Linked DNA regions of Saccharomyces cerevisiae S288C. The gene in region 3 interacts genetically with the main gene of each other region. Each region holds a gene or a part of one and is shown on either strand. Other genes may lie near its edges. The genes, in order: COX23, SGT2, STL1 and SFL1.

Region 1 (4,857 bases), on a different chromosome or scaffold from region 3:
AGAAGCGGGAGAACGAAACAAAATAAGGCAGTTGGAAAACCGCAATCAGAATTGAAGACGGCAAAAGCCCTGAGGAAAAGGGGCAGAATACCAAATTCTTTGTTAGTAAAGAAGTATTGCAAAATGACTACTGAAGAAATAATACGGCTTTGCAACGATTTTGAATTACCAAGAGAAGTAGCATATAAAATTGTGGATGAGTACAACATAAACGCGTCAAGATTGGTTTGCCCATGGCAATTAGTGTGTGGGTTAGTATTAAATTGTACATTCATTGTATTTAATGAAAGAAGACGCAAGGATCCAAGAATTGACCATTTTATAGTCAGTAAGATGTGCAGCTTGATGTTGACGTCAAAAGTGGATGATGTTATTGAATGTGTAAAATTAGTGAAGGAATTAATTATCGGTGAAAAATGGTTCAGAGATTTGCAAATTAGGTATGATGATTTTGATGGCATCAGATACGATGAAATTATATTTAGGAAACTGGGATCGATGTTACAAACCACCAATATTTTGGTCACAGACGACCAGTACAATATTTGGAAGAAAAGAATTGAAATGGATTTGGCATTAACAGAACCTTTATAACATATCCAGTATTAACTAAAAGTATATATTTGACCAATACCTGACATATCTTCTAAAGCATGCCTTTAGCCCTATAACGAGCTAATGTTAGCTCCATCTTTGCACTTATGATTGGATCAGCCCTCAAACGCTTTTGTATCTTTGCAGCTTCCGCGAAGGTAGTAGCTTGAAGTTTTTCATCCATAGTTCTTGCTAAAATTGCAGAATCTTCAAACAATTCTATGGCCTCGTCAATTTTTTCCATTTGTAATTTTAGTTGTGCTAACCCGATCTTCGCTTGTTCAGATCGTGGATCTAATTCACAGGCTTTTGTCAGCAGCTTAATGGCTGCGTTGAATTTCTCTTCATCCAACTGGGTTGGATCTTGAGAGGATTGTCTAGCTAATATAGTTGCTTTCCCAATCAAGGGTCCTATACCCACATGTATTTTTTCTTGCACTTCTTCCAACCTTTTAGCAATATCATATTGTTTAATTGCAGTATCAAAATCGCCCCTATCTGTCAAGATTTCAGCGAAAAAGGTGGGCACCTCAGGTAAGGTAGGAAACTTCAACTTTGTTTCATTGAAAAAAGCTTCAGATTCGGTAAATTTACCTTGCTTGTACAACAAACAGGCTAATTGAATGTAGGGATAAACATTTTCAGGGTTCAAGCTTTGGGCCTTTTGGAAATCTTCCTTGGCATTTTTATAATCTTGTAGAATAAAATACATCTGCCCACGGTGGTAATAGGTTGGCGGATACTCAGGGTTTAGATCAACAGCTTTTTGGAAAAATTTGAAAAATTCTTGAGAGTTTTCTTTATCGGCCAAGGTCAATGCCAAAAATATGTACGAATTTGGTGTTGGATGCAGGTTTATAGATTCTTGTAAAAGAACTTGGGCATCTAACAGGTTATTTTTTAAGAAATGGAAAATACCCGTGTAGCACAATGCCAAGGCAGCATTCTCTCTTAAAGGATCGTCCACTGTATTTGCAGAAAGTAGAGAGTGGTACATGTCAGTGGACTTTGTTAAAAGATCGTTTGCTACTAAGTAACCTTCATCTGTTGCAGAATATAGTCTTTGCAAAGCATCTGACAATAGAGCGTATGCAGTATCGTAGTTTGAACTGGTGTTCACACTAGAAACTTCTAAGTGAGAGTCAAAAATCCCAAAAAATGACGCCAGAGATGTGTTAGACGGCAAAACCTGCGAGCCTCTGCCTTCATCCTTCGATAGGTTTTCATTTAGTACTTTCATTGCTTGCTTATTTAAATTTCTTTCCAGCATAGGTTCAATGGAGGCTCCATCAAAGTCACCATTCAATGACAAAACAGATAGATCAAACATAGCATCAGTGAAGTTGCCCAGTGACTCGTTGGCAGATGCACGTCTCAGCAAGGCTTTAGAATGGTCAGGTTTTATCTCAAGTGCCTTTGTAGTGAACTCTATAACCTTCTCTAAGTCGCCCGTAGAAATGTAACAAGCAGATATGTTGGAATAGAACACTGGTTCATTCGGGTCCAGCTCAATGGCATACTGGTAGTATTTGATGGCCTCATTAAAATTCTTAGCAGTGAAGAAGTGGTTACCTCTGTTCTTCAGTTGCACGGCATACGCTTGTCTCTGGGAGGGTGATAGGCCTTTCAATTGGGCAATATCAGGCTCGCCATTGGGCAAGGAGGGATAGTCAAACCCTTCTCCCGATTTTGCCTTATTGTTCCTCTTGCGTTTATTCTTCTTCTTCTTCCTCTTATTACTTCCACTTACGACGCTGCCGTCGTCCTTTAAGTCCGCCTCGTCTTCATTTTGACCAGCAAAGGCCTCACTTTGACGTCGGTTGTCTTTTGTACCCTTCAATTGCTGCTGTTGCTGCTGCTTAATTTGCTGGTAGTAAACATAAGCACCCACAGCAGCAGTCCCCGCAGAGACCGTTGCTAGGATGGCCACTTTGTTCTTGGTGATAAACCTCAGGAGGGAGTTTTCGGCCATAAGAGCTTCTTATGTTCGGTATATACAAGTATGTAGAGATATATACAAAAAATTCTTTATTCGCACTTTGAAAATCCAATTTAGCTTGCTTATTTACATACCATTGCGAATTAGTTTTTCACATTGCACTAGAGTGTGCTGTGGCTGCCTGTCGGAACACTACGTCGCGTAGTGGCGATCTATATAGAAAACAGATCACAGCTGAACAAACAAGAAGAAAAGGCTGCCTCATTCCCACTGCTGTCTGTTTTTCCTCCTGGCTGTCAGCCATTGTTTCTTGCATTCGCGGTATGCGTCAAAATATTCTTGGCACTTGGATCGGTCGTAATCGTTGCGCTCGAGGCACTGAAAACTGAGCTTGGAGGACTCCTCACAAGGATCATAGTACTGACTGTCAGCCTTTAACGCGAATTTATACTTATTGACCGGGTTCTCCGGGTCGTCTGGGTAGTATTGAAATGACGACGGATCGTCGCTCTTTGGTACATAGTTGACTTTGGTTCTGTCCGTTACGGGTCCACTGGCCGCTGGTGGCGTGGAAGACGAAGATGGTTGTGAATTGTTGCTGCTTGTAGAGCCACTGTTGGTATTTGTGGTATCCCTATTATCGTTGGTCATGGTCATACCGTTGGAGATAGTGGAGAGACTACTAGTTTGCCGCCTGGTGGGGCTGGGCTTCTCCATTCTCTTTAAGCGCTCTCGTGAGAGAATATCACTGTTTACGGCCCACAAAGAGAATGAGAAAATTGATAAACCTTAGCATTGGGATCAGCAGGAGCCTTAGAATTCTGGGTGTGAACAGAAACACATTAGTGCATTAGTGTATAGGTTCGATATTATTCAAAGAGGAACTCGGTGTACGGCTCAACTGTAAACCGTACTTCTCGTTCTTTGTTCACTGCCCTGTTTCTGACTCTTGTGCCGTGAGCTTTTCTTCTTACAGTGTCGATTTCCTGTGCACATACGTTCTGTATAGTGGTTATTCCTGGATGTCTACTAATACTGTTCCCTCATCTCCCCCAAACCAGACGCCACCTGCTGCTTCTGGCATCGCTACCTCTCACGATCACACCAAGTTCAACAATCCCATCAGACTACCGATATCCATCTCTCTCACCATTAACGATACGCCTAACAATAACAGCAATAATAATAGCGTTAGCAATGGTTTAGGTATTTTGCCCTCGCGTACGGCTACTTCTTTAGTCGTTGCAAATAACGGTAGCGCAAACGGCAATGTTGGTGCTACTGCTGCTGCTGCTGCCACTGTGGAGACGAATACAGCCCCCGCGGTGAACACTACAAAGAGTATCCGCCATTTCATATATCCTCCAAACCAAGTCAATCAGACGGAGTTTTCACTTGATATACATCTCCCACCAAATACCTCGCTACCGGAACGGATAGACCAATCTACTTTGAAACGCAGAATGGACAAGCACGGGCTTTTCAGCATTAGGCTAACCCCGTTTATAGATACTTCATCCACGTCTGTGGCTAACCAGGGTCTTTTCTTTGACCCCATTATCAGGACTGCGGGCGCAGGCTCGCAAATTATCATCGGAAGATACACCGAAAGAGTAAGAGAGGCAATTTCCAAAATTCCAGATCAGTATCATCCCGTAGTGTTCAAATCAAAAGTGATATCCAGGACCCATGGGTGTTTCAAAGTTGATGACCAAGGAAACTGGTTTTTGAAAGATGTCAAGTCTTCCAGTGGGACCTTTTTGAACCACCAGCGTCTATCTTCTGCGTCTACCACTTCTAAGGACTACCTTTTACATGACGGAGATATCATACAGCTGGGTATGGACTTTCGCGGCGGGACGGAAGAGATATATCGTTGTGTTAAGATGAAAATAGAATTGAACAAGTCTTGGAAATTAAAGGCCAATGCATTTAATAAAGAAGCCTTGAGCCGAATAAAAAATCTACAGAAACTAACTACTGGTTTAGAACAAGAAGACTGTTCCATTTGTCTAAACAAAATAAAACCTTGCCAAGCCATTTTTATATCACCATGTGCCCATAGTTGGCATTTTCATTGTGTAAGAAGATTGGTTATTATGAATTATCCTCAATTCATGTGTCCGAACTGTAGGACAAACTGTGATTTGGAGACTACCTTGGAATCCGAATCTGAATCCGAATTCGAAAACGAGGACGAAGATGAGCCAGACATTGAAATGGATATAGACATGGAAATAAATAACAATTTAGGTGTTCGCCTAGTAGATTGATCACATGAAATTTTGTGCTATATATATATATATATATATATATATATATAA
Region 2 (4,639 bases), on a different chromosome or scaffold from region 3:
TGAAACCGATATTATTGATCTATACTCGGCGAATCTTACGATTTATATCACAATGTTACATGTACAACGTACGTAGTTACTAAACACTGATTTCAGCCTATTTAATCACCTATCGAATTAAATTGCCTAAGGGGTCATAACTTAAAGGCTCTCCATTTTCTTTTGAACCACTTTCCTCGTCTTCTGATTCCTCAGATTGCGCTTCCCTGCTTTTCATGTTATCTATACGAATAGCATTACCTAAAGAGTCATATTCAATACATTGATTATTGCCTTCCAAATCAGATTGTTCTGAGTTTTCCTCACTCTCTGATGTGTCAGATTGCGAACCATTACCCCTTCTATTTATGTTACCCATCATCCATATATCTTCTTCTTTAGCTCGGGATTTTCGTTCTTGAGTTTCCTTTTCTAATTTTTGCAACCATTCCTCTTCAGCCCTCTTTACAGAGTCGCAGTCAGTGCACTGCTGATAGATTTCAAGCAATTCTTTGTTTAATTCTAAAAATCCCATTCCCCACGAGAAGTGTGATAACAATTCACTGGCCCAATCCATTCTCCCGACGATAGCAAAACAAGCCGCTAATGCCTCAACGCAATTGAGCCTCCATGGTCTCCCGTAATTTACTTGATTAGCGGCCACTAAATACGGCAGCAGCCTTTCGTGCTTACCGCCTATTTTATTGAAGGGTACCTCTTCTAAACGTGCCCAAGAACACTCGACCACCGAAGCGCCGTGTTGTTCGACAATTTCTAGATCATCAGGGCAAACAACACCTTTGCCGTTTGGCGAAACGACAATACCTTGAAATTTCTGTCCAACTCTCAATGATTTAATTAAGCCCAACCTTTCAAGTTTTTTACCACTGCATCTCTTTGGATCGCAATGATCAAAATCCCACATAGCCAGTTTAACAGGAAACTTCATTTTTTCTGAATTATCGTACTTCATTTCCATGCGCCTATGGTTTTGCCTGGAACTGTGCCCATTAGCGCCTCTCTGTGGTCTTCCATTTTTGGGTTCGTGCATCTTATTTTTACCTTTTCCCATTGTTACTGCTTACTCAACTGTCTTACGCGAGAAGTTCTATACAGATTTACATAAAAAGCTTTTCGATAAAGTATTTCAAATAGACATTTACTAGTAAAAATTTTTTTATGTAGTTTCTCATCACATTATATTTTCTAGTCTTCTCCGAAAATCGACGAATTTACCTGAAAAAAAGAAAAAGTAAACTACAGTCCCTATTTAAGTATTTCGCAAGTGATCTCAAAGTAAAAATAAAATTCCTGGTAACACTCATCCTAGATAGAGCTATATTTGTATCTACATAACATGTATTGCATTAAAGGCTTATTTCAGTCCACTATTGCTTGTTCTCATTGTCTGGTGTTTCATCTGTAGATTGGGCACCTGCTCCACCAAAAAGATTGCCTGCCATGTTTCTGAGTGCTGGGTTATTCATCAAGTCAGACAAATTTGGAGTTCCTCCGCCTGAAGCAAAGCCTTCAGCCATCTGTCTGATACTTGGATCTTGCATCATTTTTTGAATATTCTGCATTGCACCTGGATTGCTCATCATTTTTTGCGCAGCCTGCATCAATTGTGGGTTGTTCATTAAACCTCCAAGACCACCTCCTAATAAAGAACCAAGATCTGGCAATCCACCCGCACTAGCACCCTGACTTGCATCGACATCAGCATCCCTTGACTGTTCTGGAACGGTTTTCTCCAGATTCAAAGATTGCTCAACCTTCTTCTTGGCACTTTCATAATCCCTTTTCATAGCTTCTGTTGCATTATCGCCCTCTATATCAAGAACCTTTTTGTATGCTTCAAGGGCTTCTTCGGGTTTACCTTGCGCATATTTAGCAAAACCCAATCTAGAGTAGCCTCTGAAATAAGATGGGTCAATAGAAATTGCAGATTCAGCGTCTTTGACCGCTTGATCATATTCTTTCAGGGATGAATGAGCAGCCGCTCTATTGGCGTAATAAATAGCATTCGTTGGTAAAACTTTAATGGCTTCAGTATATTTATTGATTGCCAGTTCGTAATCCTTGTTGGCCATTGCTTTATTACCTTGCATTTTCAAGTCCTCAGCTTTGGCTTTAGTTTCCGCATCATCTTCTGGAATATTAATCTCGACATTCTCAGCATCGTCTTTCTTATTCGATTCTGGAACTCTTGACGCAGAATTTAATATATCAGCAAGATGTTGACCCTTGAATTCAGACTTGCCTAAAATGCCTGAAACAGCTTCTCTTTCAAAGCCAAAGGCTTCAGAGATACAGTCCATAGCAACATTTAAAGAATCGGCGCCATCTTCTGAAATTTCTTTCTTTTCCACAATGGAAGAAAAGTAGTTTACAATAAGGGCAGCAATTTCTTCTTTTGATGCTGACATCGTACAGTAGATTTGTATTAATAAGATATCACTTGGTCAGAAGCTTCTATTCAGTTGTCCGATTATATCGCTCGTACTCATTTTATATGGTGGCAAAATTTGGGATTAAGCGTAGGGCAATAAAACCTTCTCGGATCTTCCATTTTTTTCGATTGGGAAAATTTTAAGACTTGAAAAAGTTTGGAAAAATACAAAAGAAGGGCTAAGTGTTGTGATTAGAATGTCATGACAATAAGGTTAAAAGCAAATATTATGCCGCCTATAGCCCTTTAAAATAGCATAAAAGACCTTTGTAATTTCTATTCAATGTTAAAAAAAATCTTCCCCGCCAGGACTTGAACCTGGAATCTTCTGGTTCGTAGCCAGACGCCGTGACCATTGGGCCACGAGGAACAGATCTTGAGAAAATTAGAGATATTTATCGATACACGTACTAAAAGCAAATTTCATAGTTTTATTTCCCAATAATGCCCATCATCCATTATTATTATATTCAAATTATTATGCCAGTGTGAAAAAAATGGAATGATCATTCCCATACATATTGATGATTTTCGACATAATTATATGCAATGGTATACGCAATTGTGCAAACATGACAATTTTGTTTTGATTCTTTCATTCCATTTTTTGTAAAGGAATAATATCCCTATATAATATGCCAGAGGTCTTTCCTCGAGGATACAGGAATCCGCAAAATGGAATCAAAATTTTACATCATATATTATAATCACGTCTTCCTCCTTTTTCATGCATTACTACTCACGCATCCTATCACATAATCAATCCTTGCGCTTCAATTTCATTAGATTGAAGAAAATATGAATATAAATTTATTAATCTCCTACTTTATATCGTCTTTCAACGCGGTATTTTTTTAATAATTTCTAGTAAAGTGGTTATTGTCACTAGAAGATAATTAGCTATTAGTTTCATAACAATTTGTTATTTTGAAAATGTATAGTTTTATTAGGTGGTATTCATTTCAAAGAATTAACATGTTTAATGTTTGTTAAATCTATGTAACTAAGTTAAGGTTGGTATTCAAATATATCATAAAAAAATTAATGAGTAGAAAAAAAAATAACTAATCTAATTTTGTTGTTCCTATTTAATGTTCCTCGTTACTTCCAGCTCTCCAGCTCTCAAATTCGAAATGTATGAATTTTTAGAGGATCATCATAATGTGAAAATGGAGATGATTTGGCAAAATGAAATCGGAAAAAGAAAAAATTAATGGGAAGGAACAAGACTTGCTTGGCAATAGTTTAAGAATATAATAATTTTTTTTGGGTTTCTTCAATCAGCTTCGTCTGGATTGACCACTGTTAAAACGTTGTTTTTCCCTCCTGGTCCGCCATTTATGAATGTTCCGTTACTTATTCTCCTTGAGTCGTCGAAAGGGTTAATATCAGTTTGCCCTTTGGTGTGCTCCTCCTCGAAGCTACCTGAAGAGGGCCCGTGATTAGATGAAAATGAAGAGGCGTATAGTTTATCAGGGTACTCAACTGGTTTTATCGCCTCTTGGTATTCCTTTTCCATCCTGTCTTGTTCCCGCTTCATATTAATGTGTCTGACAATCAACAAGATACAAAGAGCAATGGCTACGGCTCCCACTACACCACCTACAACGCCGCCTACAATTGCCCCTACATTGGCTTTCTTTTTATGAGTTTTACTTCCACTCGTAGAGTCAGATCCAGCTGTACCTGTGGCCGATCCTGAATTCTGTGCACTTGCCGTGATGGTGTTCGTGACAAAAATTGTGGAACCGCCCTCAGTGTGAAAAGTAGTGGAATAGATTATCGAAGTGGCGTCCTGTGATTGAGAGCTAGTACTGCTCGTTGCCAAAGTATCCGAAGTTAGCGAGCTTTCTGACGTTACAGTGCTCGAACTCTGTGACGTTGAAATAGAGGCAGCTGCTTGAGTTGACTCGGGGGAATTCTGTACTGTAGAGGAAGACGCCATTGATGATGTAGTTGATGATGTAGTCGATGATGTAGTTGATGTTGTGGAGGACGTTGTTGAAGAAGTTGTGGAAGACGACGCAGAAGTAGACTCCGTACTTGAATCTGAGCTGCTTATGCTATTGCTATTTGTGTCAGAGTCAAGTTGGTACACAGAATAGGCATCTTCACCACCACACATCTCACTGCTGTAACCAAAGCAATACGTATTACATGAAGAGGAAGTAGATTCCGAACCAGATGGATTAGTATCACCACAATAAC
Region 3 (5,381 bases):
AACTCTATTAGTAGTTGAGTAACGTAATAAAATGCTCAGAAAAAGTGTTACTTGCTTTTTATTCCTTCCCAACGAGGAAAAGTGTCAGCGTGGATGCCAAAGCAGTCTAGGATCCTGCCAACACTTTGTTCTAATAGGTCATGAAGGCTCTTGGGTCTTGTATAAAACGCAGGTACCGGAGGAAAAATTATAACACCTGCCCTGCATAAAGACAACATGTTTTCAAGATGGATGGAAGATAAAGGGGTTTCCCGAGTAACCAGTAGTAACTTACGATTCTCTTTAATCGAAACATCGGCAGCTCTTGTAATTAAATCCTCTGTAAAACCGATTCTAATAGCAGCTAGTGATTTCATGGAACAGGGCACAACAATCATACCATCATGCTGGAAAGATCCGGACGAAATGCATGCAGAAACATCACGAACAGAGTATGTCTTGGTTGCCAAGGCCGCCACGTCATGCGGTTCCCAATCTGTTTCATATTTCATTGTTGCTGCACCCCATTTTGAAATCACCAAATGGGTTTCTACGCTCAACTCTTTTAGCACTTGTAGAAGTCTGATTCCCAGTGCAACACCAGTCGCACCAGTAATTGCGACAACAATTCTCTTTGGTCTTGGAGGCGAAGTTGATGCCCTGGTTACTTCCTTTGACAGTTTATGTGTAAGGAAAGATGGTGAAGTTGTAATGGTTCTACCTAGCAAAGGAAAATTAGCAAAAATGCCTGTTGTTTTGAAAAAGGCTATATTAGTTCTTCTTGGAAATAGGAGCATATCTACTCAATTGAAGCTGCTCAATGCGTTGGACTCCGTAGATTGAAATCAATCTATATTTGCAGCATTATGTTAAATGAAATTCTATCCATCACCAATCTTAAAAATGGGTCGAGTATACTTTTTCTGAGAAGTTTAACGGTAAACAGGAAAGGCGCGTCATTTTTTCTGTGCCAACTTTCCTTTTGGAGCATCTCATCATTATTTGAAAACGATACGAAGTGCTACTAATGAAACCATTTTTATGTAAAAAGGCTTTCAGACAGGAATGCAAAGTCTGTAAAATACATCCAATTTCTTGTCTGCAATTTATGTCATAACATGTTAAGCGTTTTGGCTGTCTTCACAGATATACTCTTTTCTTGTGCAATCGTTGTCAAGTTGGTTATAAGTAACAGCACTAGGTGATGTATGGTGTCCCTTGCCCTGTTTTTGATATGCCTATGAAGCGCTGCTGCGTTTTCGAGGTATGGCTTCTGCCGGGCTAACGTTCAAATTAAAGGAACTAGATTCTGCTGTTATCAAACCGACAAGAAGAATGAAGTGCATAACGTATGAAAAATAGGTCCTGTAAAGCTCTGGTAAAATCTTACTGCTCTAAGCGATGCATGATATTCATGGCTAATTTGAAATCTTGCTCTAAAACCCTTTTTGCAAGAAGAATATCATGGCAAGACCGCAAAAAGAGAATAGCACCATTTGCAGTGTTCGAAAGTTGGTGGCTTTTTGTATGTTGCAGTTAAATGATGGTAGAACAGGTTTTTGCGGTGTCCCATGAGAGAAAAGGAAGGAAGACATTCATAGAACATCCATGGCGGCACCCTGCTAAAATATCTTCACCTTAGTATTCAGATTTTCCTACTTCCGTCATCATTCGCTCCAATGTAATAACACGTCCACGTTATCAATAAAGATGTTTTAAAAATTTTTGTGGGACTATTATTGTACTTAAATAAATATTAAGACTACGGAGTCGGGCTATTTTATAAGCTTTTTATAGGCATTGCCGGCAAGCGGAAGAAAATGAAAGTGGACATATTTCCTCAAAAGACAGATCGTCTGGTGTTAAAATACTAAAGTTATGTAGTAATATATGAATATTATTGGTGCGGCAAGGAACAAATATAAACCCCGCAAAATGCTTTCTTAAGTAAATTACAAAATATGATTTGTGAGTTGTGTGTGAATCAACCCTCAAAATTTGCTTTATCGTTCACTGTATCTTCATTTTTGATGTTTGAAGAACTAGACGAATTATCGCCGTTAATTTGGTTATAGGTGTCTTCTACTCTATCTTCACCAAAGTCCTCTTTTTCCATTTCGTCGTCATAAGAGCCCAATGCATTGGCATGATCTTCGACTTCTTGTAGGGATAACTTGGGCAAATGGTTAGCAACTCTCCATGGTTGAGTGCCATCCTCGTATGCTTTAGCAAAGATGATGTCGATTTCCTCCAAACTTCTTCCGGCGGTTTCAGGGTAGAAAAAGAAGATAACTGGAATGTATAAATAATTCATAACAGCAAAAAATAAGTAGCAACCCCAACCGGACTGTCCAATAAATATTGGGGTGAACATGACAACCGCAAAGTTACACAACCAATTAGTACATGTGGAGAAAGCGTTTGTTGATGCACGAACTTTCATTGATGCAATTTCTGGTGGGTATATCCATGGTAATGATAGCAAAGACAAACCAAAGAATGTAATGAACAAAAATAAGCCGACGGCAGCACCTCTTGCGTTTTCTTTATTTTCTTTGACCAAGCATGCAAATGTAATTGTGAATGAAACTGCTTGACCTGTGGCACCTAATAAAAACAGCTTACGTCTACCTAGCTTTTCAATTAGAAAAAATGAACCAATAGTAGATAAGGCGTAGATTGTTGCGAAGACCCCACCTATGATCATTGATAATCTATAGTCTAATTTAATTGTTTTGTTGAATAATACAGTAGAGTAGTATATGGCAGCGTTACAACCAGTAAATTGCTGGAAAAATTGCGTTGAAGCTGCAATCAAAGCCCTCTGAAGATTTTGGGACCTGCCTCTGGAGAACAAACTTGACAGTGAATGTTTCTCGTGTTTGGTCCTGTTAACAGCATCGTGAAGCATAGCAACTTCTGTTATAACTTCCTCATCATTTGGATCCGCGTCGTCTAGTGTTCCTACCAAGTAGCGAGCTTCTTCTGTTCGACTTTGAGAAATCAGCCAACGTGGCGATTCAGGTAGTTTAATCATGAAAGCAAGCAGGAAGAGAGCAAAAACGATTTGCATTGACACGGGGAATCTCCACTGAACAGAACTGTTGGTATAAGACAACCCAAAATCAATCCAATAAGCAATCATAGTACCAAAAGCAATTGTGGAACCTTCTAAATTGACCAGCAACCCTCTATTTTCAGCTTTTGACATTTCTGATTGCCAAACGGGAATAGTAGATGTATTCAACCCTGTTCCAACACCGGTGACGACTCTTCCGATGATAAACTGGCCTAATGCCCAGTAACCACGAAATGCGCATGTAGAAATAACGGCACCAATGATGGTTATTACGGAACCCATCAGGATTAATGGTTTTCTACCAATTCTTTCACCGCAGAACATAACGAATAGAGAACCTGCGAAACAACCTAATTCATAACAGGAGGTTGTAGCGCCCTGCACTACAGTTGCGTGTCTGTCATGATCGCCATTTTCTTTGGTTGCTGGAAATTCATAGTTGAACTGTTTACCAGTAATTAGACTTGCCATCAACCCTTGGTCGTATCCAAACAGGGAGAAGCCCGTCATAGATGCGATAGTGATGAAATACCGCAACTTCTTACCCGTAAGTCCCCAGTGACTGGTTCTGCTTATAAATTTGCCTTTGAAATTCGATAATTTTAAATCCTTCATGGTCTAAAACTTTCTATGTTCTATTTTTCTATTTTTTATTTATTCTAACTTGTATGCTAGAACACGTATACAAAATAATTATTCAAAATCAATAAAGGGCTTGTTTATATACTATGAGTGTGACTACTCCTGAACTGCAATTCTGACCCTCTAAGGCCAAGCAGCGTTGAAGGGGACAAAATTGAAGCTAAAACATCTCACTTAAGCTTTCTCAATTTCTCTATCTACTTCCTTTTTGTTACGAATGCCCCAATGAAAGCCCTATCAAAGGTGAACCAAAAGTGTTTCCCTTACCGGGATCTGCACTTTCTCAGATTACTACTATCGCGAAGCAGCCAAGCGCAATAGCTGCACCTGGCGAGGATTAACCAACCAAAAACGGTATATAGCCGAGAAACAGTGTACAACCATTATTTCTTTCTGACGTAGTGGATGGCTGGACACTTTCCGCTTATTTTAGTTTCATGCAACGAACAGAGCCGCTCGAACAGGCGACGTAGCGCCGAATACCCCGCGAAACGGAGATGCTACTCAAATGCAGGTAGCGGAGGCATCGCCGTGGGGTATGCGGTGGCCGAAAAAGGACAAAGTCGGACCCTTCATATCAGTTAAAATGACGCAAGTTGAGTCAAAGTGAGCCAAATGGGCCAAATGCGGTGGAATAGTGGGACAACGGCACTTATTTCGTCCGTACGTCCGTTATGGATGTGTATACTATTTCATGATTGGCTTACCTCAAAGAAAATGAAACGGATGGTGCCTCCTAGCCTTGGCAATGAGTATCAGTAGTGGTGTTCTGCAGCCCTTTAATTCTATCTTGGCCGCATTCCAGACATATCCCTTATAGTTATGACGTATATGATTGTGGGGCATTGTTTGCCAAGGAAAATGGAGTAAGTTGAATGAAGAATATGGATTAGTGGTTCTAGGTCGCTCGTAATATCAGACTGAAAGACATTATCTTTGCAAAGGTTGTAAAAGGAGTATTTCAGAATCATTGCTGATTCACACGCGAGACCACATTAGTAAATTTTCTACTCTCGGGCTGAATTCCTCGGCGAAGCTTTGCCTTGCCATTTTAGGTGAGAATACGTATTTGCGGTATCATATTGTTTTTCTTCTCTTCCTTAACTCATTTAGAAAGTTCGATAGTGAACAAAGCGCTACACAAATATTTGATCATGGCAAAGTTACCGCGCCAATCGCCCTGCGCATTGTAGTCGCCTGCTCCTTCAGTTCGTCCGCTGGTTGCGGAATATTTGAATGTCAGTTTTCAACATTGAAACATCAGATAATGTTGGTATCGTGTTTAAATGATGGACGCATCTACGTCACCTTAAGTGCGTTTTTGCCTGTGAGATTTTTATTTCATTGTGTCCACTTGCTATTGTCTGGTTGATATTCCGATGTTTGTCGAGTTTTTTTATTTGCTCTCTGCTTTCATTTTTCTGCACTTCTGGCACATGGTCTAGCCTTTCTTAGTCCAGAAGCAACTGTCACCATTGAATAACGTTGCACTTCAACCTGTCCGTTTATCCAACTGTTTATATCGGTAGAAATAAGGGTATAAGAATAAATTGGCTGGTCAATTGATCGATGAAATTATCGAGCTTTTTTTTTTACTGCATGATCCCTGTCTTCTGAGGCTGTGTAACTTTTTTACTGCCTAAGAACTCTCGGACCCTTCTTTGGTGTTGCCTCAGAAATA
Region 4 (6,851 bases), on a different chromosome or scaffold from region 3:
TAGACGGCTATGATGGTAACATGCATGGTGCAACAACTACAGAATAGGAGCACAACTTGAAGGCGTCCATAAAGAATAAGGTGTCTTTTTGTGATGGTTGTTTAATAGCAAACATACATATATACTTATAGAATTATTGTACAGGAAGTTTATCGAAAGGTGCATTTTTCTGTTTATGAGACAATACCCCGTAGCTATTCTGTGATATACTAGAAAGAACGGGCGGTATTATGATACGAATTGAAGGGAGGTAGGGGAAAGGAAGGTGGAAATGAAAGTGGAAAATACAATTTAGTGTGATGAAAACTTAATAAAACAACTACCGGAGTTGGTAAAAATATAGTTATAATCACAAGGATCAGGAGGAAAAGAAAAAAAAGTGAATAAAATAAATAACAATGATTACCCGTTGGGATACCTAAAATGAAATGAAACAAAAGTAATTGAAACAAAAGTAATTGGAACAAAGGTAATAAACATACAGTGAGGTGCTTTGAACTTTTAGACAACTAGAGATTAAAAAGGCAAAGATCACATCTTAACCTTTTTGAGTGCCGGAGCGGCCTTATCTTCAGTTTTAGGATCAGCACTGGACGTGCTGCTATCCTCTTGATTCAGTAAAGAATAAACACCGCTCCCTTTTCTCTTACTATTGTCAGCCTCGCCAGTATTCTTAGTGGTGCTCGTTGTGGGCAAAGATGGCTGCGGTAGTTCTATTTGTGGTGCAGGTTCTGCTTGTGATAGGCTTGAGCTGTGCTCGACGTTCATGGGGGAGTTTATTAAATTTGAAGAAACAGCAGGAAGATTGTCCATGTTTTTTGGAGGAGGGCCCGTCAAGACAGACGAGTCTAATGGAGTTACCGAATCTGGAGCACAATTAGCAGCTTTGTTTAATGAGCGAAGCAATCCCTGCTGAGAGTACCGAATTGGGGCTGGATTGTTGGCAACTAGTGTAAAAGAGGAGGATAAAGACGTGCCCGAAATACTGGATTTGAGAGAGTTTCTAGGTTTGGGATACAGACTATCTTCATTCAACGATGATCTCGGTGTCAGCTTCAGAGGACTGTTTCTTCTATCGTTGGGCAAAGAGCTTGTAGACCCGAGACTTCTCATTTTTGGTTGAGAATACAATCTCGTTGTTGGTTCATTAATAGGATATATTGGACTCGGAGCCATATTTTGAGGGACAGGCTTGTTGTAGTCACGGACAGAAGGATTAATATTCATGATAGGATAGTTTAGTGGACCCTGAACTCCAACACTCGCTGCGGGAGTCAGCGGGTCCATGAGAACACTATTGGTCCTCTTCGTGTTGCCCGGTTTGTTGTTATTTTTCGAGGCAAAAGGATTGTGCATCATTTGTGGAGTGCTAAAAGTGTCTGCATATTGTGGAGGTAGTTGTTGGATGGGTATCGGCTGATTGATAAAGTTTGGTACATGTGCCGGTTGCTTCGCATAAGTCACATGTTGTTGCGACTGCGGTTGGTATTGTACAAAAAGTTGCGAGGGCGGCACTGAAGCCGTGTTGAATCTCGAAGGGATGTTCGTGGTCGAGGAAGATTTCTGCGGGACATACTGGTTCCCTGGAGGAACCATCATCTCATACTGAGATTTGGGTGCATATGCAGATGTGGATGTGGGCGCGGGTGCAGGGGCGACAGAGGCAGCGGTAGCGGCAGCATTTACAGCACAAAGAGAATCTATTGTACGGTGGGCCCTCGACATGACGTGCTGTTTGAAAGTTAACATATCGCTTTCGAATGCCTGAAGTTGCTTTTGGTGATCCTTCACGATATTTTCCGATTTTTTCTTGCTCACATTCTTGAAGGTGAAACTCTGTGAACAAAAACTGTGTTGCAAAGATATGAAATGCTGCATAGACTCTATAATCTTAACCATATCAAAATTTATTTCTTTCAAATGTTTCAGTGTTTCATCTTGAAAGTTCGGAGGTCTGTTTTGCTCTTGCATTTCCGGGTTATTGGATTCCAGCGGGGCATGGTTTGCGTTTTCGTAAGTTACATGAGAGTTATTAAAGTACTCGGGGATAGAGTTATTGGCGCCCGGAATTTGCGGAACGAAATTACCAAAGGAATTGGAACTGGTGGACGGGTCTTGAATCGAAGAGGGTCTTACTCTTGCACCGGAATCTATATCGTAGTTTTGATTACTAGAATTCTTTCGACTGTTAATTGAGGAGTTATTACGGGAAGAAGCTCTTCTCTTAATGTGTTTGAGTCCCTCAATGTCACCTTTCTTGAAAATACCAGAACTATGCTTAAATTCCCAGATTTTAGTGGGGTTACTTTTCTCCTTTTCTTGGACACCGCCACCGGTATTTTCGTCGCCACTACTGTTTTTGTTGCCACTATTATCATCGTGAGTATTGCTGTCATCATTAGTATTGGCGTCGTCGCCACTATTAGCGTCGTTGCTGCTATGATCATGCGACACCTTGTGAAAGCCGTAAATGTTCAACTGTCTTACAAAGCTCGTGATATTAGTATGCTTGAAATATGTAGCCAAAGCCTTACTAAACCGTTCCACAGGCTTAATCATGAAGGATAAGCCCGAAGGGGTCCACCATATCAAGTCGTGTAGCGATTCGTCCTCCAGAATCTGGTATAGCTTATGGATGAATATCGCATTTTGTGGCGGCCTGGGCCCCACTAGCATCTTCGACCCATGTTTCTTAACATCCTCGGCACCGTCGCCGCCTTCAGCACCAGCATTAGCTATTCCAGCTGCTGCTCCACCACTACCTACATCGGTTCCAGCCGGGGCCGGTGTAGAAGCTGGAGCTGGGGCTGAGACCGTTTCCTCTTCACTCATGATTTTTTCTTCTTTTTTTCTATATAACTGATTTGTGCTGTCTTAGGACCCTCTGAATGTACCAAATAGTGTCGAATTACAATATTCTTTGTTATGTATATAGAGCTGAGTGCTTTGTGTGCGTATGCGTATGTGTGTGTGTGTGAATTTTTTCCTTGAACCTGTCACTGTGGCGATGAAGGTTCACTATGTTCTTTTTTCCCTGCTTTTCAAACTATCTTTGAAACTTTCCACTTCACACCAGTACGACTTCTTTGAAAAATTCGTAAGTCGAATAAATAATATTATTTCGCCGTGCGTTTGTGTTTCTGTTTCAACAACCCTTTGTGTGCACCTGTATAGAGTGTTTAAAAAGAGATCCTTCTTGCTAGCTGAAAAAGTTTATGTCGAATAAAAACGTCTTTTCATGTACTGAACATCTGTTTTTCCGGCGGAGATGCAGCGATGGATGCGCTTGCTGCCAAGGCATCTGTGCCGGGCGGGTGATGTCCGGGCGACCCGGCACGGAAGTAAAAGATACTATTGTTGAAAGGTACTTCTCACTACAAGGCTTAAGGACCTGTCGGAGTAGAGGAAAGAAGAGAAGAAGCCGGAAAAGGAGAGTCGTCACCTGTAAAAGGAATCTTAAGTAATTGATTTTTGTTAAGTAAGCTACGATGATGGATAATCAGGCTGTAAAGTCACTGCTAGAAATGGGTATTCCACACGAAGTAGCTGTGGACGCCCTCCAAAGAACTGGCGGTAATTTGGAGGCAGCAGTTAACTTCATCTTTTCGAACGAGCTGCCGGAGCAAGCGGAAATGGGTGAGGAGAATGATGGCAGTCAGCCTAGGATTTCTGAGAACAAAATAGTGGCTGGAACCAAGCCCTGCGATGTTCCGAACAACGGGGACCAAGACATTGATATGCCGGATGTGAGTGGTGTCGATGTTGATTATGATGACGATGAAGACATCACGGATGAACGCAGCGGTTCTAATAGCACCAGCGGATGCAGGGTTACTGCTCAGAACTACGATCGTTATTCTATATCGGAGACATCCATTCCTCCCCCCTCTTATAGTATAGTACAACACAACGAGTTCAAGTCGAACGTGGGCGATCCTACGGTTGTGTTGCCGCTACCCTTGAATAGTCTAATTGAGAGCTATTTTGGGCTGTTTGCGTTGCTCACGGCCGTGTATTTCCCACACGTGTTCTTGAAACCGGACTTTAAGGATTTGAACTATAGGGCAGACTGGTTCAAGGGCTCATCGTTTACGGAGCCCAAATACAGACTTGCATATTGCGAGGCAGAAGATGGTTCCACTACGTCGGAGATCGTGCTGGCCAGCGGACCTAATGAAGGGTTGCAACCGCATCTGCTCTGGCAGTTGCAAAAACTCATCTCCGTGGTTAACACGCGAAAGTGTGAAAGAGCCTTTGTTTCGGCCAAGGTGTTTACGTCGTCCTTGGAACCGCAATTGAGGTCCAAGCTGGCCGATTCCGAGCATCTTTATGAGGTGCTCCCAGCGTTTATCAAATCATTGGCAGTGGATTTGGAAATGTGTCCTGGGATCAGAGACCGGGAAACAAGAAGTCTCTTTATATCTTCTGCTTTGCATACTCCGAACAAGAATGAACCTCCAATGGAGACGTTTTTGTCCTTGTTTCATTTTCTTCCTGAAGAGTACGATTCTAATCTATATAAAATGTTCAACGTTTTATTGTACCCCGAAGAAGAGGAAGAAGAAGAAGACGTGATTCGTGGTGGCGAGCAAGAAGAGGCGAGATATGTGGAACCGGAGAATACTTTGAAGGAGGTGGCACCCGTATTAACAATCCTGTTCAATGAACTAGAAACAAATACAGAATCAGTGTCTCTACCCAATGGCGTGGATATACCGCTTGAGTTTTACCCACAGCTTTACACCAAACAGTGCAAAGACCAACTAATAAGACATATTATTTCTAAACGAAAGCAAGCGCGGACCAGATCCAGATGCTTGCTTCAAGAGATCAACGAGTTAAAGAGTTACCAAGGCAAAAACATATCCACTATTCTAGAGTCGACGCTGGCGTATCTACAAACAATTCCTGACGATGCTAATAATGAAGCAGCAAAGCAGATCGCATCGTTGAAAGATACATTAAATTCTGCGAGAGCCGCTAAAATGGAGGAATATAAGGACTTGGCGTCCAAACTGCATGGAGAATGGAACCTTTCACATCCAGAGACACACATAATCAACACTGCAAAGCAATTGGGACTGATCGAAAATCCCTACATCCTCACAATGGCAGCACTATCGCCATATTCATACTTTATCAGAAGCAGAAACGGTGCATGGTCATGGATACAAAGTAATACGTTGGGAACAGAATTCAAGGTGAAAAAATGTTCGTCGCCTTCTGTCGTTCAAGAAGCCATCAAGCATGGCACGAAGTACGCAAGTGAAACTCCGCTGATGTTCATATACTGTGAAGAGGGTAAAATTCCCACGGAAGAAGTAGTCGCGGAAGCGTTGAAAAGCAATAGCGGGTGCTTAAAATTTGCTGAGGATGACCAAAATTCATTAAAAACATTGCGTTCGCAATTTTTCGATGGTATGGGAGATCCTGAACAAGCCACCAACAATATTAACAATGGTAACGATAATGACAATGACGATGACATCGATTCTGATAATTAGATAGATTTCTATACACTTTCCGCCAGATAAATAACGTATGTCTCTTTAAACTATGATCTCATTTTCTCTAGTAATTTTGAACCGCATATATGTTACTAGTTTACGTTTTCAATACTATAGAAACTCCGCTTGGAGGCTAACTGCGCCCGCAATCCGAAAACTTCTATTTACGGACATAAATTAGACTCTAAGGATCAAACAAAAATAAAAAGGTTGACAGATAAAGGACAGTTTTAATTTTTATACTTTTGATCTGAAATAATGCCAAGTCCTAAACTTATTATAATATAGCCTCGAACACAAGATCATTGAGTTGCTTTTTCTAACTTCTCCTTTCTTTATTTTACTTTAGCCGCAACAATACCCCTTCTATTTTAATTCTGACTTCAATTCATTTCAACTTTACGACCTTTTTTTTCAATTTCGGTTCTGCAGTACTCTTCATTTGTCGATTAATTCGAGGTTTTCATTATTTCTTGAAATTTCTTTCAAGTTGCTTTAGTTTCATTTCCAAAAGAGATTTAAATAACTTACCTTTTTCTCATTCCTTTCGATTATTTTACTTTCCAACAATTAGCTCTTATCACATTCATTGACCTTCGCAAACAATACCCTTCAAATATTTGCATGAGATTACATTATAGAAGAAGATTTAATTTTTTAAGGAGAATACTTTTTATATTATGCATTACTTCATTGTATTTATCGAGAGATTCACTAAAGCTACATGCAAAAAATGTATTAATGGATCATAATGTAGCAGAATATCATGGCGGAATGATAGACGATATTCAAATCCTGCGGTGCTACCATTGGTACAGGCAATGTAGTTCTTTGTATGCCCCGAAATTACACCCCTCCAATACTGCTAAAAAGATCAAAGACAAAAACAGCATTCTGTGGACCAGAGTTTCTAAGAATATTACTGTAGAGACATTGTATTCACTTCAGTCTGGACCATTCTACAACAGTTACTTATATGTTCATCTGAAAGATTTCCAAAGTAATCCAAAAAACACAATAAAAGAACTAGCCATAGCAAGGGACTCAGCACTAATACCCCTACAAGTGCTGAGAGACATTAATAAGTTGGTGAAATCGAGCGACAGTTCTGTCTTTCACAATCATGTGTATCTACGAGAAAAGCCTACTTCGTCATGGTGGAAGCTGCTTTTCGGCATATCCGTTGATACAGATAACATAGCTGTGTTCGGTGAGGAGTGGGTATACAAGGGGAGCGGCATATGGTGTAAGTATATCCTTAATGATGATGATAATGACGCTCCTATAACTAATTTGGAAATATATCTAGGATCATCGTTTATTGAATCGAGGCCTTCTTGGAAA

The links.
Region 1: mutations in STL1 (region 3) and COX23 together harm fitness more than expected from each alone (negative genetic interaction), as found in Saccharomyces cerevisiae (2 studies listed by BioGRID).
Region 2: mutations in STL1 (region 3) and SGT2 together harm fitness more than expected from each alone (negative genetic interaction), as found in Saccharomyces cerevisiae (2 studies listed by BioGRID).
Region 4: mutations in STL1 (region 3) and SFL1 together harm fitness more than expected from each alone (negative genetic interaction), as found in Saccharomyces cerevisiae (2 studies listed by BioGRID).

The regions. Positions count from the first base shown.
Region 1 is NC_001140.6:340,058-344,914, reverse strand, and holds COX23 (Cox23p), read right to left. Parts: upstream 3,251-4,857; coding exon 2,795-3,250; downstream 1-2,794. Other genes in the region: ORC6 (origin recognition complex subunit 6), read left to right, coding at 1-594; protein channel TOM71, read right to left, coding at 647-2,566; ubiquitin-conjugating protein DMA1, read left to right, coding at 3,556-4,806. UniProt on the Saccharomyces cerevisiae protein: Required for the assembly of cytochrome c oxidase.
Region 2 is NC_001147.6:337,571-342,209, forward strand, and holds SGT2 (Sgt2p), read right to left. Parts: upstream 2,409-4,639; coding exon 1,368-2,408; downstream 1-1,367. Other genes in the region: ribosome biogenesis protein TSR3, read right to left, coding at 110-1,051; SLG1 (Slg1p), read right to left, coding at 3,708-4,639. UniProt on the Saccharomyces cerevisiae protein: Co-chaperone that binds to the molecular chaperone Hsp70 (SSA1 and SSA2). Regulates Hsp70 ATPase activity. Required for recovery from heat shock.
Region 3 is NC_001136.10:1,506,297-1,511,677, reverse strand, and holds STL1 (glucose-inactivated glycerol proton symporter STL1), read right to left. Parts: upstream 3,674-5,381; coding exon 1,964-3,673; downstream 1-1,963. Other genes in the region: phenylacrylic acid decarboxylase PAD1, read right to left, coding at 48-776.
Region 4 is NC_001147.6:582,962-589,812, reverse strand, and holds SFL1 (Sfl1p), read right to left. Parts: upstream 2,833-6,851; coding exon 532-2,832; downstream 1-531. Other genes in the region: RUP1 (Rup1p), read left to right, coding at 3,489-5,504; SIA1 (Sia1p), read left to right, coding at 6,132-6,851. UniProt on the Saccharomyces cerevisiae protein: Involved in cell surface assembly and regulation of the gene related to flocculation (asexual cell aggregation). Mutations in SFL1 causes constitutive cell aggregation.